2 linked regions of the Xenopus tropicalis genome follow. The protein of the gene in region 1 interacts with the protein of each later gene in a pairwise test. Links are inferred from orthologs where the notes say so. Each region holds a gene or a part of one and is shown on either strand. Other genes may lie near its edges.

Region 1 (4,011 bases):
CATAGTAGGAATGTGCACCTCTGCTGTTCCATTACAGCAGAGAGAGATTTGGGCAGCGCTATAAGGCACAATATTATTTCCCAACCAGTTAATATTTCATTCCACCGATGGGTAAAATTTTTCTTCAGAGAGCATCAAACGGGGTGTATACACATGCAGCCAGTATAAACTACTACCTGAGAAAGTCTATGTGTTTCTCACTTTTCCATATCTTCAATATTTCTCAGACTAGCTAGCTATAAGCTTCCTTTGCCATCAAACAGTACTAGTAGGAGGCAAATTTTCATAATAAAAGAAAAAAAAAAAAAAAAAAAGAAGAGGATTTTAAAAAAACGTTCTGGGATTTGGCAAAATCCAGAAGGTAAATGTGGGTTCAGTGAAACTCTTTAAACCAGTATCATCAGGATTACTGTATATACTTGAGTATAAGCGGATCCGAATATAAGCCGAGGTACCTAATTAAGAAAACTGGAAAAACCTATTGACTAGAGTATAAGCCTAGGATGGGAAACGCAACAGCTTCTAAGTTTCAATAATCAAAATAAATTCCAATAAAATTAGGATTTATCATTATTACTGAACAAATACGTGCAGGGAATGAGTTTGCTAGATGCCAGGCTCCCCCCTACTGCCTCCTCTAGCAGGGTCACCTGGAGAAGTAATAACTCATTAATGCCTTGCTCCTCAACCTGTCAAAAGGAGCACATCATAAACTGAGAGGATTCAGCTTGAGGTTCACTTCAAGGAGCTCCCTCCCTCCTCACCTCAATAGTATGCAGGCTTGATGTTCCGTTGCCTGCCTGCTTCAAACAGTTCCATTCCTGCCTGCTTGTAAAGGCTCTCCCTCCCCCTCAGACACCGAGCTGAGAGCAGGGAGCGTGTGATGTCACTCCTGGGGGTGGGGCAAGGAACCAGGAAGCAGCGGAGCACAAAAGAGCACACAGGGAATCAGGTAGCAGAGGGTGTTAGTTGGAGGGACTCGAGTATAAGCCGAGGGTTAATTTTTCAGCACATTTTGGGTGCTGAAAAACTCGGCTTATACTCGAGTATATACAGTAATTGAAAGGGGAAACATTCCCAAGTGCCCCATGCTTACACTTTATATTATACCTTAAGGTAGGGATCCCTAACCCTTCTTACTTGAGTGTCACAGTCAAATGTAAAAAGACTTGGAGAGCAACACAAGCATCATAAAAGTTCATGGAGGTGCCAAATAAGGGCTAAGATTGGCTATTAGGTAGCCTCTATGCACACTATACCCTTACAAGAGGCTTTATTTGGTAGTAAATCTTGTTGGTTTGGGGGCACTGAGAGCAACATCCAAAGGGTTGGTGAGCAACATGTTTCCCCTGAGCCACTGGTTGGGGATCACTGCCTTAAAGAATACTGTCATGGGAAAACATGTTTTTATCAAAACACACCTGTTAACAGAGCTTCTCCAGCAGAATCCTGCATTGAAATTCCTTTTTCAAAAACACAGATTTTTTTTATATTTAATTATGAAATTTCACATATTCTTCATTTCCCAGGGTACCACAGCCATGTGACCTATGTTCTGATAAACCCACCTCCCAGCAGGCGATCAGCAGAACAATGGGAACGTAGCAGCCCCCAGTAGATATCAGAATAGTAAAAAAACCAAGTCCGGCTTTGGACTCCTCCAGTTACATGGGAGAAGAAGAAACAAGGGGTTACCTGAAAGCAGTTCTAATGTGTAGCACTGGCTCCTTCTGAAAGCTCAGACTCAGGTACAATGCACTGAGATGACTGCCTACACACCAATATTGCAACTAAAAAACACATTTGTTGATTCAAGAGAAAGAATTTAAATGATAGAATGAATTATTTGCTATGTAAACAGTGTAATTTAGAAATAAAATGTATACAATAGAAATCATGACAGTATTCCTTGAACCACTATAATTTTGTCTTCAAGGTCACCATGTTGCCCACCATTGACTGAACTTCTCTGACAAGCACATCATCCAAACTAACCCTAACATAGAACGTACACTGTAAAGTTGGGGCCTACTACACATGCTACAGTCACCCTAAGACAGTGACATAAGAAAACACTTATATTTTAACCACTTATTACGAGCAGTTTTTTAAGACATAAATCTCCCAAAAAAGTACATATGGCAGATAACTGAATAACCAGATATAGCCTACAAGAATGTGGGGAGTGTTGTGTATGGTTTTCCTTTCCCTTCATTATGTTAAGGAAGATTTTCATTCAAGCCATGATAAATAAAATAAATATCTAGTAGTGTTAAGTCACTGGACTTGTTGAGTAGGTCAGGATAACTTAAAATTACCACTTGTAACTACAACTGCAAAAGTATTAAATGAATGTATTAGGCACCTGATAGAGCTGGTATTTACATGGAGAACACTCACAATATATATGCATGTCTGTATACTACATGCAAAGGAGAGTTTGTAAAGCACACTACTGTGCTGTATTCACAGTGCATACGTCTTAGAACACACCTGTCATGATGTGCTCCCGTATTTAAGTATACTATGTATCCTTTACCGTTCCAGAGCTTCAATACAGTAATTCCGTACTACCCTTGAGTACGACTCGTCTTTACCTGTCAGACGAACTCTGATACTCGATCCACCTCTCCGAGTCACAGCGTTCGACATCCCGCCAAACGCCGGGAGCCTGCATACAAGTTATTGGGGAAAAAAGCCAATCCCGTTACGTCGGGTGTATCCTACCGGGTGTCCATATATAAACACCGCGAGAGCGAGCTTCTATGCCGCGCACTATATTGACGTCATAGAGAGCGACTGAGTGAAGTACAGGACTGGAAAGCTAATTTGCTACAGGTTAATGGAGGGGATGCGTTGGTTGTTTCATGGTATTTCATTCCTAGCCTTTATGAAGTTTGTAGGCTGTCTTTAAAGGTTTTTTTTTTAGAATATGGTTCAATTAAAATGCTGTATTAAATCGTTGGTTGGGTCTAGTCTCCAGGTATTGTACCTGCCTTTGATTTATGTCCTGATTCAAGTCTAACTGCATAGCATTATTACGGTGTTATTACACGCTTACCGAAGGGATACATTAAACAAGCGTGATCGGGCAGCACAAAGTAACTTGCATAGGTCAAACACGTATAGGAAATAATGTTATAAAACAGTAATTGTTAAGTTTTCACCAGGTGGAGTGAAACTCTTGCTAATGAACACATGGTACTTACTGGGCAAAACAGAACATTTTATTCATTAATAACGGTTAATAGATCGGGTACAATTTTATTGCATTACGCTGTATGTGTGTTATGTGTAATATCCCCTAACAGTACATAGAGCCCAGAAGACTTTATATTTGCTGACAAGTACACTTTCTGACCATTTCTCAATGGCTGAATATGTCTTTCTACTCCAAACTGCGAAACCTCAAACATATGGCAAAGGTTTGGGTTTTTTACAACATTTCTAGAATCCCTTAGCTGGAAAACTCCAGATCCCAAGCATTCCAGATGAACATCTGAGTAAAGCTTACTTAGTTTTTACCTTTCTTTCTTCTTTAATGTTTGTAGCAAAAAGGAAACACACTGGGTCAACAAAAATTCAGGAAAGCAAAATTTTATCACCTTTAGATCAGTACTTCACGGAAATTAACAATCATTACTGTTTTCAGTTTATCTTTAGAAGGAATCGTAACAAGTGGATCTTTCCTCAATATGCCAAATGGTCAAGGACTGTGTCAACAAGCCAATGCAATCATAGCCCTAACAACATCTTGCCAATTTTTGGCCAGAGGGCAATAGATACGCAGCCAACTCGGCCTATGTGTGGCCACCTTAAAGGAACAGTAACACCAAAAAATAAAAGTAATTAAAATGTAATGTAATGATGCACTGCACTGGTACAACTAGTGTGTGTGTGCGCAACTGAAAAACTACTATAGTTTGTTTAAATAAGCTGCTATGTAGCCATGGGGGCAGCCATTCAAGGTTACATAGCAGAGTCAGATAAGCTCTGTAGAATATAATTGGG
Region 2 (3,398 bases), on another chromosome or scaffold:
TTGGCTCAGAAACTAGTGCTTGTTGTTGCTGGAGGGTCCATGTGTGGGTTTTAAATCAATTGTGACTTCTAAAACTCCACCCAAACACAGCTTTAAGGAACAGAAACATGTGTGTTTGCTTCAGAAACACATCTATAATTTATATAAATAAGCTGCTGTGTAGCCAGGGGGGCAGCCATTCAAGTTAGAAAAGGAGAAAAGTCACAGGTTACATAGCAGATAGGTTCTGTAGAATACAATGGTGTTTTATCTGCTATCTGTAACCTGTGCCTTTTTTCCTTTGAATGGCTGCCCCCCATGGCTACACAGCAGCTTTGTTTACTAGTAATGTTTTTAAAGCATATACACCAGGTGTACCAGTGCAGGGCAACAGTACTTTATATTGTAATTACTTTTATACACTTTCATTTTTTGGTGTTACTGTTCCTTTAAGCTTTTTGAAAAGTAAACATACTTTCAAGCCACTTTGCAATATACATCTATTAAAAATATGCAGCTTTTTGTCCAGTGAAAAGACAAACGCCTTGTATATTTCTATGTTGGAGCTGAGCACCATCCATTGGTTGTACACAGATAGCAATGCCTCTATCCTGTCAGGACTGAGAACCAGAAAAACAAAGTATATAACAGTAAAGGCGGTTAACTGGCCATAAACAGGCTGAGAGAGGCTGGAGACTCTCCAGGTTCAAACAAATTTTCAGTTATGCAGAGCCCCCCACAGGCCCAATAAATAGTGACTGCCTATAGCATCTTACAGCAGCCCCTCTGGCATTTACCAGAATCGACAAATTGCCAGTCCGGGCCTGACTCTGTACCTCCAGACCAAGTCGGAAGCTCATTGGTCTGTGTATGGGACCAGATATCTGGCTGAAAAACTGGCGAGCTATCTATCAGGTAGGTTATAAAATCTTGCCAGACTGCATGGGACTTTAGATACAGTCCCCTCCTGATGGGTCTCCATAGAGCTGCAGTATGATCTGATCTTTTAACTGGGGCAGCTGATCATATCAGCCCGATTTGGCCTCAATGCTTTGGTGGCAAAATCTGGCAAAGATCAGTTTGTTTGGCAACCTCATATGCAGCTTAACCCAATACCCCATGGGAACAAAAGACTGGGAAGAGCTACAGGCAAACATTAGTACTGTCCTTAACTGGACAAACAGTGCCATCTAGTGATCATAGAGCTGTGCTTTTAATTTAGTGCTACTGTTACCCTTTAATGGCAGTAACAAACAAGACATGAAAGAGTATAGTCAGCAACCTTTTGTTGCAAAGGCAGCTCTTCTGGGCCCTTCCCAGCAAACTCGTCATCTTCATCATCGTGTATAATCAAATTGCTTGGGACTATCCCCTTTGCGTACTTCTTGGTAATTTCAACGAAATCATCCAAAGCAATAAAGCTCTTTGCTGAAATATAACAAAAACAACTTGCTTATATGGTGATGGTACTCAGGGGAACAGAAATGAAAGAGGGGCACCCTGCACAAAGCAAAAAATATAATAAAATAAATTGTTTAATTAGAACAATAAAAGTCTCTTGGGCTCATTTATAAACACTGGGCAAATTTGCACCTGGGCAGTAACCCATGGCAACCAATGAAGTGTGTATTTGCATTGTTCAACCTGCAGGTGGCTGAAAAAGCCAATCACTGACTGGTTGCTATAGGTTACTGCTCATGGGCAAATTTGCCTAGTTTTTATAAATAAGCCACAATGAGTAACACAATACAGCTGAAGGCATGGGACACAGGTGATAGACATGCTGGTAAATGGCTGGATATCTCTAGAGTAAATAGGAATAAAAAAAAGAACTGGTGTAACCCTGTTTTAATGGCAAGTATGTCAGATTCCATATCTTCTATATCAGGGGTCCCCAACCTTTCTTACTCATGAGCCGCAGTCAAATGTAAAAAGACTTGGAGAGCAACACAAGCACCATAAAAGTTCATGGAGGAGCCAAATAAGGGCTAAGATTGGCTATTAGGGGCCTCTATGCACACTATCAGCTTACAGGGGCTTTATTTGGTAGTAAATCTTGTTTTATTCAACCAAAACTTGCCCCCAAGTCAGGAATTCAAAAATATCTACAGGTGTGGGACCTGTTATCCAGAATGCTCGGGACCTGGGGTTTCCAGAAAAGAGATCTTTCCGTAATTTGAATCTCCATAACTTAAGTCTGCTAAAAATTATTTAAATATTAAACCAAATAGGATTGTTTGCCTCCAATAAGGATTAAATGTACTGTTATTATTACAGAGAAAAAGGAAATCATTTTTAAAAATTAGAATTATTTGCTTATAATGGAGTCTATGGGAGATTGCCTTTCTGTAATTCAGAACTTTCTGGATAACGGGTTTCCCGATAAGGGATCCCATACCTGGTTTGGGGGCACTGGGAGCAACATCCAAGGGGTTGGTGAGCAACATGTTGCCCCTGAGCCACTGGTTGGGGATCACTGTTCTATATAATGCAGCAGCCCCCACACTATGAACATGAACAGTTGAAAAGGACCAATCATCTACTCACATTCACTACTGACTAAACGTTCCAGGATCCTCCGCTGCTTCTGTGCTGCCTTGGGAATGGGTCCTGGCTCATTATTTCCATCTAGAAAACAAAATTTCAGTTTGAACCTGGGGGTTCATATTATATTACAGTATAGAGACACTGGTATAGTATTCAGGTGAGCTGCAAGAATAGGTGGTTACTTGCATGAACCAACTAAATAAATCTATTTTAGGGAAGATAAGAGAAAACAGTATAGGGAAAGATAAAAGAGAGAGATAAACTTGATTGCACTAGATGGGGCTGATAAGGAGCTCTTACTATAATTTCCTCATATATAAAAGAAGCATCTGTTAGGATATCCGATAGGACCAGCGACCTATACAGTGACAATAAAAATTCCATGGTACCGCTGCTCAGCCCCCTCCCTAGAGCAGCCAGTATCCCAGTGGATGCCAAGCACTCACCTTCAGCGTTGACCTGGCCCACATTTTCCAGCAGCTCGGATACAGACACCTGTTTCTTCTTTTTTGGATTCAGTTTCCAGTACATGACCAGGGCAGCCTTCCTCACCGCCCTCTCCAAATCCGTCTCAGATGACAGTTTCTTCACCTCGCTTTCATTTTCAGTTGTAATTCCTTCGGAAGGAATGCTCAGCTGTTAGTGGAATCTGGATCACATTGAACTACATGTGCTCGTTACATCTTCAGGACCCCCACAAACTCACACTGTTTGTTAAAGGGGTGGTTCAATTTTATTTATTTATTTTTTCATGCTTTTTCAGTTATTTAGCTTTTTGGTTTGCTATTTCAGAAGCTATCTGTCTTATATACCATTGCAACCAGGCAGTGGTTTGAAAGACAGACTGGAATATGAACAGGTGAATGAATAGA

Evidence for each region. The genes of interacting proteins can lie anywhere in the genome.
Region 2: the proteins of smurf1 (region 1) and wfs1 interact in binary tests that used the Homo sapiens proteins (3 or more experiments, as listed by UniProt). The link is inferred for Xenopus tropicalis from reciprocal best matches to the Homo sapiens genes SMURF1 and WFS1.

Annotation. Positions count from the first base shown.
Region 1 is NC_030685.2:47,094,395-47,098,405, forward strand, and holds the start of smurf1 (E3 ubiquitin-protein ligase SMURF1), read right to left. Parts: upstream 2,801-4,011; 5' UTR 2,653-2,800; coding exon 2,598-2,652; intron 2,516-2,597; exon of another isoform or gene 2,501-2,515; coding exon of another isoform or gene 2,494-2,500; intron 1-2,493. UniProt on the Homo sapiens protein: E3 ubiquitin-protein ligase that acts as a negative regulator of BMP signaling pathway. Mediates ubiquitination and degradation of SMAD1 and SMAD5, 2 receptor-regulated SMADs specific for the BMP pathway.
Region 2 is NC_030677.2:25,488,071-25,491,468, forward strand, and holds part of wfs1 (wolframin), read right to left. Parts: intron 3,144-3,398; coding exon 2,973-3,143; intron 2,608-2,972; coding exon 2,527-2,607; intron 1,408-2,526; coding exon 1,262-1,407; intron 1-1,261. UniProt on the Homo sapiens protein: Participates in the regulation of cellular Ca(2+) homeostasis, at least partly, by modulating the filling state of the endoplasmic reticulum Ca(2+) store.